Nothobranchius furzeri: one gene and its partner. The protein of the gene in region 1 purifies or fractionates together with the protein of each later gene. This does not show direct contact. Links are inferred from orthologs where the notes say so. Each region holds a gene or a part of one and is shown on either strand. Other genes may lie near its edges. The genes, in order: faua and rc3h1b.

Region 1 (3,735 bases):
TCCTTCATGTGCATGTTCACAATTTCCACAATGTTAGACTCTTAATTCCTGCCGTCACTCCAGTGGGATGAAGGCCTTCTGACTATGAGCAAAGGGGAAACGGCCCGGCTGGAGATTGAAGCGGAGTGGGCGTACGGGAAGAAAGGCCTCCCTGACTCCAAGTATCCTTCTCTTTGGCATCACAATAAAACAGGTTTCATTTTACTGGGCTAGTTTTCTTAATCTTGTAGAATTTTTGTGGTACTGGAAAGTACTTTAACTCTTTAAAATAAGCAGGAAATAGGGTTTTGATCATAATAGTCATAAATGAGTTGTTTACGTTTAGGTGTTTTTTCTCTAGTTTAAGGTGCTGGATAATATTGAACATCTTGACTGTGGTAAATTATATTTTTGTGAAGGTTATAGTTTGACTTCCTGTTAACACATTTTCCTTAATTCCAGCTCCACCAGAATCCCTCCTAATGCAAAGCTGATTTTTGAGGTTGAGCTGGTGTCTGTGGATTAAACAGTCCACCAGCATTGCTCTCCATATGCAGCTTTTGGATCCCTATGTTGAAATGTCGTTTGGACTGCACTTAAACAGTCCACTTTGCCTTTATCTAGTCACATGTCATTTGTTTAAACCAGAATGATTGTAATGTTTCCGTGTACAAAATAAAGTTCTTAGTTTGTACAAAAGACTTAATTACTTCATTTTAATTTTCACATTTAGCTGTTTCATTGAACTTGTACATTAAAGATGCTATGAAATAAAAGCACCAAGCTTTTCTACATTTATTATAATCTAGTACCACGACACAACGCGTTGAAGCCAAGTTAAACTTCTTTATTCTGTACAGAAATAAACATTAACTTGGTAAAAGATGACAGATGGCGTTTGTCGTTTCTCCTCCGGGTTGCTGATTAGGAGTTTGCATTTGGACCCTTCTTCTTTCCGAAGGTGGGCACGACATTCACGAAGCGCCTGTTGTACTGGATACGGCGCTTGGCACGGCCAGTCTTCTTTTTTTTCTTCTCCTGTTTGTCGACCTGGATGGAAAAAAAACGCAGATATTTAGGATTGTACCAGTTAATGACTTTTTATAAATTACATTTTTAATAACTGACTCAAACTGTGAGGGAAAACAACTAAATGTTTCTTTATACACCCATTTTGGACAATTCCTTAACTATAAATGCTTTAATGGAGTTAAAGATGTAAAATTCCTTACTTTGGGAGTCTGGCCTCTCACTTTTCCAGCACGGGCAAGTGAACCGTGCACCTTACCTGAAAGAGAGCATGATTAAACTATAGGTCTTCAAAAATAAATAACTATTCATATGATGCTGTTTATATGTACAATCAGCAGTTTACCACTCACTACCTTGTCAAACTGATAACCTACAAACTTGAGTTTGATTCATTATCTATTTGTCACGTTTGCTAATGGCATACTCTCACATGTATACATTCACTTTGCATCTATGTACTAACCTCCAAGCAGCCTGCCGGCAACCTCCAGGGTACAATGCTCGGACACACCACAAGATGCCAGGGAGGCGTTGTCCTCCAGTGGGCACCCAGCAAGCAGCAGGACCTGATCCTCCACATGGAGTCCTTCCAGAGTCTGGACATGGGCCTGGAAAACACCAAAACCCAGATATTATTAGAGCAATTCCTGCTTTGAGCATCTTAAAATGATTATAACAGCAGAGTGTGTTGGAAATAATATAACAGAGGCCAGCATCCTACCTTAATCTGGCCAACAGTCTCCTGTCCGGTCACCTCAAGGGTGTGAGTATTCTGGGCACGCAAAAAGAGCTGCATCCTGAGGCTGCAAGGAAACGTTTTCAGTTAGCTCTGCTGCTGCTAACAGGTGCAAAAGGACGGCATAGATAAAATACCCAGATGTTAGACAGGTAGATGAGCTGACACACAACCACAGGCTTCACACAAACTCCACATCAATGTGCGTTCTTCTCTCAGAATTAGCTACAGCTTTCCTACACAAACCAAGATGTCTGCCACTGTCGTTAGCTGCGGAAATTCGATGGTTTTGTTTCATAATCTTTTAAAATACAAACATTTAACCTTAGACTCATAAACAAATCCAAACCAGACGTTAGGTAGATGTTAAAAAGCCTCAAACACAAGGAAGCAGAGGGTGGACGAGTTCCCGGTATACTCAACGCTAGCTCAACTAGCCTCATGAGGACATGCGTTTTAAGAAAAACCGCACAAAATACTTAAAATACACTATTAAGTCGAATGTTTAAACACATCACATACAGCCTAAAGATAAAAGTAGTGTATTTGAAAACTTAGACTGTCTTGAGGTTGGTTTAATGATGATTTTTGACTAAAACTATACGGTTCCTACCTCGTTTGATGCTAGTCGTTCCACGCTAAGCATAAAAAGGACCGTCTGCGGAGCGACACTGCGCATGTGCAGATTTGCGTAACGCTCGGCGGAAGTGATGGTGACGACTTGACGCTTTTTAATAAATGATAAATGACCCCCGCTTGTATAGCACCTCTCAGAGTAAGGACTCCAAAACGCTTTACACTACTGTGTGTCACTCATCCATTCACACACTGATTACGCCTAATCTATCCCCTGCTTTAGGAGGGAAACAAACTCTTTAATCACGTATTACGTATTGACTACATGATACCCTGTGTGCTAGCTCCAGCAGACTTTCATGTTCGATTATTTTTCTATTTGACTTCGTCTAAAACTTGTTTTCTTTACATCTGTGGTGAATGCTTTAGTAATTTAGAAGCAGCTACATTATGACTAAAGATTACATCAATTTTTGGTCAAGGTGTGTGTGTGTGTGTGTGTGTTAGCTCACCAGCTTTTTACTTCTGATACTTTGAACCAACCACATAAAACAAAACGAGACATGAGGATACCACTCTTTATTAAGAAATCAAGTCAAAATTAAAAAAGGGATTCTTCATTGCTCCCAATGGAAACAAGCATGAAATACTAAAAATGTTCATTTGGAAACTTGACCACAACAATTAACTGTGTTCCTTACAAGCTTTAAACGGAAACACAAACAGGTCAAAATAATCCAATGTAGGTCTCTCGTATGTCATGCATAGGAAAAACAAAACCTTCAACTTAAACAGTGCAGAGATGATTAATTTAGCAGTTACGTTCCTCCACAAAATGAGATGAACATCGTTACCATGGAAGGCCAAATATCATCTAACAAAAGAATGCTGCAACACGTCAACTGTAAGCCAGGAAGTAGAACTAGAAAAACTCCACAGCGTAGTTCAACTGAAATCTCTTGATAAATTTGCTTGCTCCAAGATTTAAGGTCAGAAAAGATCCCACTTCCATCTTCATGTAAAAAGCTTGTTCATCATGTAGGAGGGGGAGGGTAGTATTGGTTGTACTGGGCATACTGGTTGTACTGTCCCCAGGAATTCTGTCCCCAGCCACCGTACTGTTGCTAAAGACAAAACAAAGCAAGTAAGTTAATGCCTCATGGCTCTGGTGATCGTGAGTTTGTTAAACACAACGTAAGGATGTGGTTAGAAGACAACCCTACCTGGTACCAGTTGTAGTTGTACGCAGAGCTGTTTGCCTGCATGTCTGTCATGGCGTTTGCCGCAACAGCTGAAGGGTCGTCCACACGCTGTCTTTTGGCGTCACTTTCTTGAGAGCTAAAGAAGAAAGCTTAAATTAGCAAATATGATTTAGGGCCCCTCCCCCCAATGGTAATGCTTTAGCTACTTTA
Region 2 (4,455 bases), on another chromosome or scaffold:
AAACATCTTAGAGCAGTTGTTTCTCGGCATAAACAACACCATGTAAATATTACCATCTTTGTGTGCAAATACAACGGTTTAGAGGCCATTTAGGGCATTGTATTAATAAACTAAATGAGCAGTTTCTCATCATTAATCATAATAAAACTTAAAATGTATTTGAAGTGTTATGCAAACACAATTTTATGCTAAATTACAATTTTTTGTTCAAAAACAAAAATGGTTTTCCATTGGTCTAAATGTAGTATACTTTAACACTTGTTTACTTCTTATATACACACATATAGCTGTTAAAACAATAGAGGATTTGCTTTTTTAAATTAACAATATTCCACAGGATTAGAAAAAAGAGGGAATGCCTCATGCAGAGAGGTGTTTATTATTAAACACAGTCCACCATGTTGGCAGAGTGTGGATTATTAATTAGCAACCATACAAGCTGGTGGGCATCATCTCCGACTTAGACTCATGAATGCATTCCTTATATCAGTGCTGATGATGCACTAAATAACTATTAACTAAAGGCCTTCAGGCACAGGGTGCAGAAGGATGCTCTGTTGCCCTTGGTGCAAAAGGATCACATGCTGTGAGTTTCCCTCTGGGTGAAATGAATGCTCGCAGGATTGAGAAATCTGACAAAGCACACAAGGTGTGCTGTTAATCCTATCTCCACAGGACCAGCACTTTTGAGGAAGCCATGTCTAAACTTTCGGACTAAAAGTACAACCACCACGCAGAGTCTTCTGTCTCCCAAATCTTCCAACATTTACTTCTGCAGCAGCATCTGCTCAACTGCTGGTACTTCCTGGATATTGGTTTAGTTATAACTTGCAGTGTTCCTGAACAGTGATGATAATACAACTACCTAATAATTAAAATAATAAAAATGACTTAAATTTAAAGCATACATTTTGACATAAACAAAAAGTTAAAAAAAAGTGGTATTATTTTAAGATTTCTCCCCTGGCATATTATTTTCATCAAGGAGGTAAAAACATGTTAAAACATTACGTTACTAACGATTGAACGGTTCAGCTTCATTGCCAATGCACTGATCTTTTCCATTACTACTAAGTCTAAACCTGGAAACTGTGGTAATAACATCAACTGGGACTCGCCCTGCAGGTCAAATATTACCTAAAAGAAATACAGTTACTTATGAAGGAAGCACTCGGTAAAACTAATTTCAAGCAGCCGCTTAATAACTCTCGTGCAACTCATAAAGCCATATAAAAAGCTCATGCACCAGACTACAAATGACAAGCACCTCAAAAAGGAAACAACAAAACATAACAAGGAAATAACCTGATCTGTGCACAGGTTATCTAAGCTTCTATCACTACACTTGTATGGTAATTAAATGTCAAATACACACGAACTCTGGTCTTACCTGGCCTCCCACCAGCTGCAACAGGGCTGTGTTGACAGGTAACTGCTCAATGTCAGTGCTGATGGCCGTCTGGTCAAAAGGACAGGCCTTACGGTGCAACTTGTTCAGGCACATCTTGCAGACAGTATGTCCACAGCCCAAACTGATGGGCCGGCGAACAGTCTCCTCAAACGTCTGCGTGCAGATTGGGCACAGCAGAAACTCTGTCCATTGTGGCGCTTGCACTGGCATGATTATATGTTGGTGGGTTGGGTGCGTGTATATTTAGGAGTTAACACAAAGAAAAATATAATAATTATATATAGATATAGATGTATGGAAGATTCCACTGGAATCGAGATTGTTTTCCGAACTTAATTGTTCTTAAATGTCCTCACACATTGTGGATGTTGGATCACATCTCGTGATGAATACTGTAAAAGAAGAAAAAAATGAATCAAAGTTGTAAAAACATTTCTTGAAATAACTTGTTTTGAATAAGAGCCAAATGCTTCTTTACAATCGTTAGTAATCTTTGTATGTGCCGACATGAACCATCAAAATATTACCATGATGGCTATATATGCATCTAGCAAAAATGCTCTAACCTAGAGGGTGGCAAAGTCGACAGCTAATGCTTTTGTGTCGACTTCTTTTCTGCAATTTCCATTTTACACTCGCAATAACAACTAAAATATCAGTAAATAAACACAATATGATTTAAAAACAAGGCCTACTGAACAAACGACAACAACAGCTGTGTGGCCTACTTAAAGAAGCTTGTAGCCTCTCTGGACAAAGGGTACAGAAAGAAGCTAACTTACAAGTCACTGCTATCAAACGCAATGAAGCTAACATAGTTAAGATACACTCTACTTCGAGAAAACTTAGTTGAATATAAACAGAATATATTGTTAACTTTGCATAAAGTGCTACAATGATCCACTTAAGACAATATAAATAGTAATATTAGGCGATGCGTTAGCTCACTTTAGCAATCTAAGCTATGGGTGGCTAGCTGACAATCGTAGCTAACAAAACGTAGTTGGATGAAAAACATTCGCTTCACAACAATCTCGAACCAGATGTTTCTTCGCTATTATGTAGTAGTTTTTCTAACGCTAATCACACATGTGCAGCTATTACAATATCAAAAACATCAGCTGCCACTCGTGTATAAATATACAAGGAAATGATACCTAGTAGAGACCGAATAAAACATTCGACTTGTATAATTATGTAACGCTAGTATCTCAAACTAACAAGTAGATATATTACCAAAAATGTATATTAACAAGATCCACTAACTAAATGGCGACACTTGGTAACTACAGAAATAGTCTTGGCCAAAGCGGCTGACTCGAACGCTTTTCTAGTGAGACAGCTAGCTGGCTAATGAACAAATGTTGCTCCTCCATGTTAACAGCAAATAACCATCGCTATGCGTCCGTGTGACTTTAACTAATCATGCAGCGCTTCTATCAGTTTCCGATATGATACCGACGACATTTTGTCGATAATACTCACTTATTCCAAATGAATTGGAAGTATCTCATCTTTCTTTACAAAACTGTTGCGATATTTTCCTGCCATGTCGACTGCGCAGCTTCGCTGCTCTTAGGGGAGGGGGTTGTCAATTCGAAGACAGACTAGCTTGAAGGTTGGTGTTGTGACAAAAAATGCAACCCTTCCGTAAAAAGGAACCAGTTACGCGAAGCGAATTTCTAGATGGCTTTATTCGCACATAAAATAGATAAAAATGAAAGCAAATGAACAGGACTGAAATTTTCATTTAACTTATTATGCAATCGTTGTTATTTATAAGAATGGACCCTCAGAAACAAAGGAAAAGCGAATATCACCATTCAGTAGGGATAGGCTGCCAGCGTTGGACCCACTATCCACTCTGTTTGGTATCATCACTGCGTTAAATATTTACTATATTTATAAGGTTTGCAACTTGTGTACGTGTGAAATATGTTTTTTTTACGTTTTTTTCTTTTTAATTTGCTGCATGGACGTAATTTTCACTTTAGATGTGGGGGGGACACGGGGGGGGGGGGGGATCTTTACAGTATGTTCTAATGGGAAACAGGCTTCAACACAAACGTTTCTACTTGGTCCTAGAGCTCAACCAGTGTCAATTTAATATAATGTAATATTGCTTTTGGATGGTAAAAAGTGCAGGGGTCAAAACTTGGCTTTGGAAAAAGTGGGGGGGACATGTCCCCCCTGTCCTCCCCCAAAATTACATCCATGATTTGCTGTAAGGAAGAAAACATGTGCCTTGAAAATTTTGTCCTGCGACGAGGGTTTTCTTTTTCAGCACGACACCGTTCAGGGCTGCGCGTGTGCGAGCACCATGGCGAGCACACGTTTACCTGCGTTCGTTGAACGCCCCCTATCGGCGATAAGCCGCATGCACAGCCAAAACCAAACGATCTCTTAAGTCTGGTGAAAACGACAGCAAAAACACTCAAATGTGAGTCAAAAGAAACATGAAACGACGCAGAGAATGAAAATGACACCACGGTAACGGTTTCTGATAAAAAAAAACTGATGTATTTTTTTCATGATGTCAAAATCTCATAATAGAAAATTAACAGATACAATATTGCTCAAATGACACACACACCAGACCCAGATCCAACAGATAAAAAAAATTGTGAAATTATTATTTTTTAATCTGGAAGCAAAATGTCAAAAGAAGGAATAACATAATCACAAATAAACAGACAATTAAATAAATGGCAACCACGACTGAGTAAACACACGTTTCAAGGGGGGGTTTCCTTTTTTAATTTTCCCGGGCTGTTATAATGTTTATTCCGTCACGATTCCCGTTGGAGGGCGCAGGGAGGAGGAGGAGCGGGGGCGAATAGGATAAAAGGAGACAGAGGGAGGGCTCAGCCATATCGACAAGTAAGAATCAGGTGACAGCACACAAAATCTGTTTTTCATTTTCAAAACCGGGCTCTGTCTCGTCATCAAGGTAACCCACGAGACAGAATTACTACTTTTATTTCATCCGGTTGCATTTGGATGGACAGTTTGCAGAAGCTCTTACGCAACAGAAGCGTGGAGTT

Evidence for each region.
Region 2: the proteins of faua (region 1) and rc3h1b purify together in Homo sapiens (affinity purification with mass spectrometry; 3 studies listed by BioGRID, with this or other methods). This does not show direct contact. The link is inferred for Nothobranchius furzeri from reciprocal best matches to the Homo sapiens genes FAU and RC3H1.

Annotation. Positions count from the first base shown.
Region 1 is NC_091742.1:23,793,794-23,797,528, reverse strand, and holds faua (FAU ubiquitin like and ribosomal protein S30 fusion a), read right to left. Parts: upstream 2,471-3,735; 5' UTR 2,361-2,470; intron 1,815-2,360; 5' UTR 1,808-1,814; coding exon 1,733-1,807; intron 1,620-1,732; coding exon 1,475-1,619; intron 1,268-1,474; coding exon 1,212-1,267; intron 1,030-1,211; coding exon 904-1,029; 3' UTR 806-903; downstream 1-805. Other genes in the region: peptidyl-prolyl cis-trans isomerase FKBP3, read left to right, coding at 64-161, 451-505; prpf39 (pre-mRNA-processing factor 39), read right to left, coding at 3,358-3,447, 3,547-3,661.
Region 2 is NC_091751.1:54,521,950-54,526,404, reverse strand, and holds the start of rc3h1b (roquin-1), read right to left. Parts: upstream 3,055-4,455; 5' UTR 2,897-3,054; intron 1,804-2,896; 5' UTR 1,622-1,803; coding exon 1,391-1,621; intron 1-1,390. UniProt on the Homo sapiens protein: Post-transcriptional repressor of mRNAs containing a conserved stem loop motif, called constitutive decay element (CDE), which is often located in the 3'-UTR, as in HMGXB3, ICOS, IER3, NFKBID, NFKBIZ, PPP1R10, TNF, TNFRSF4 and in many more mRNAs.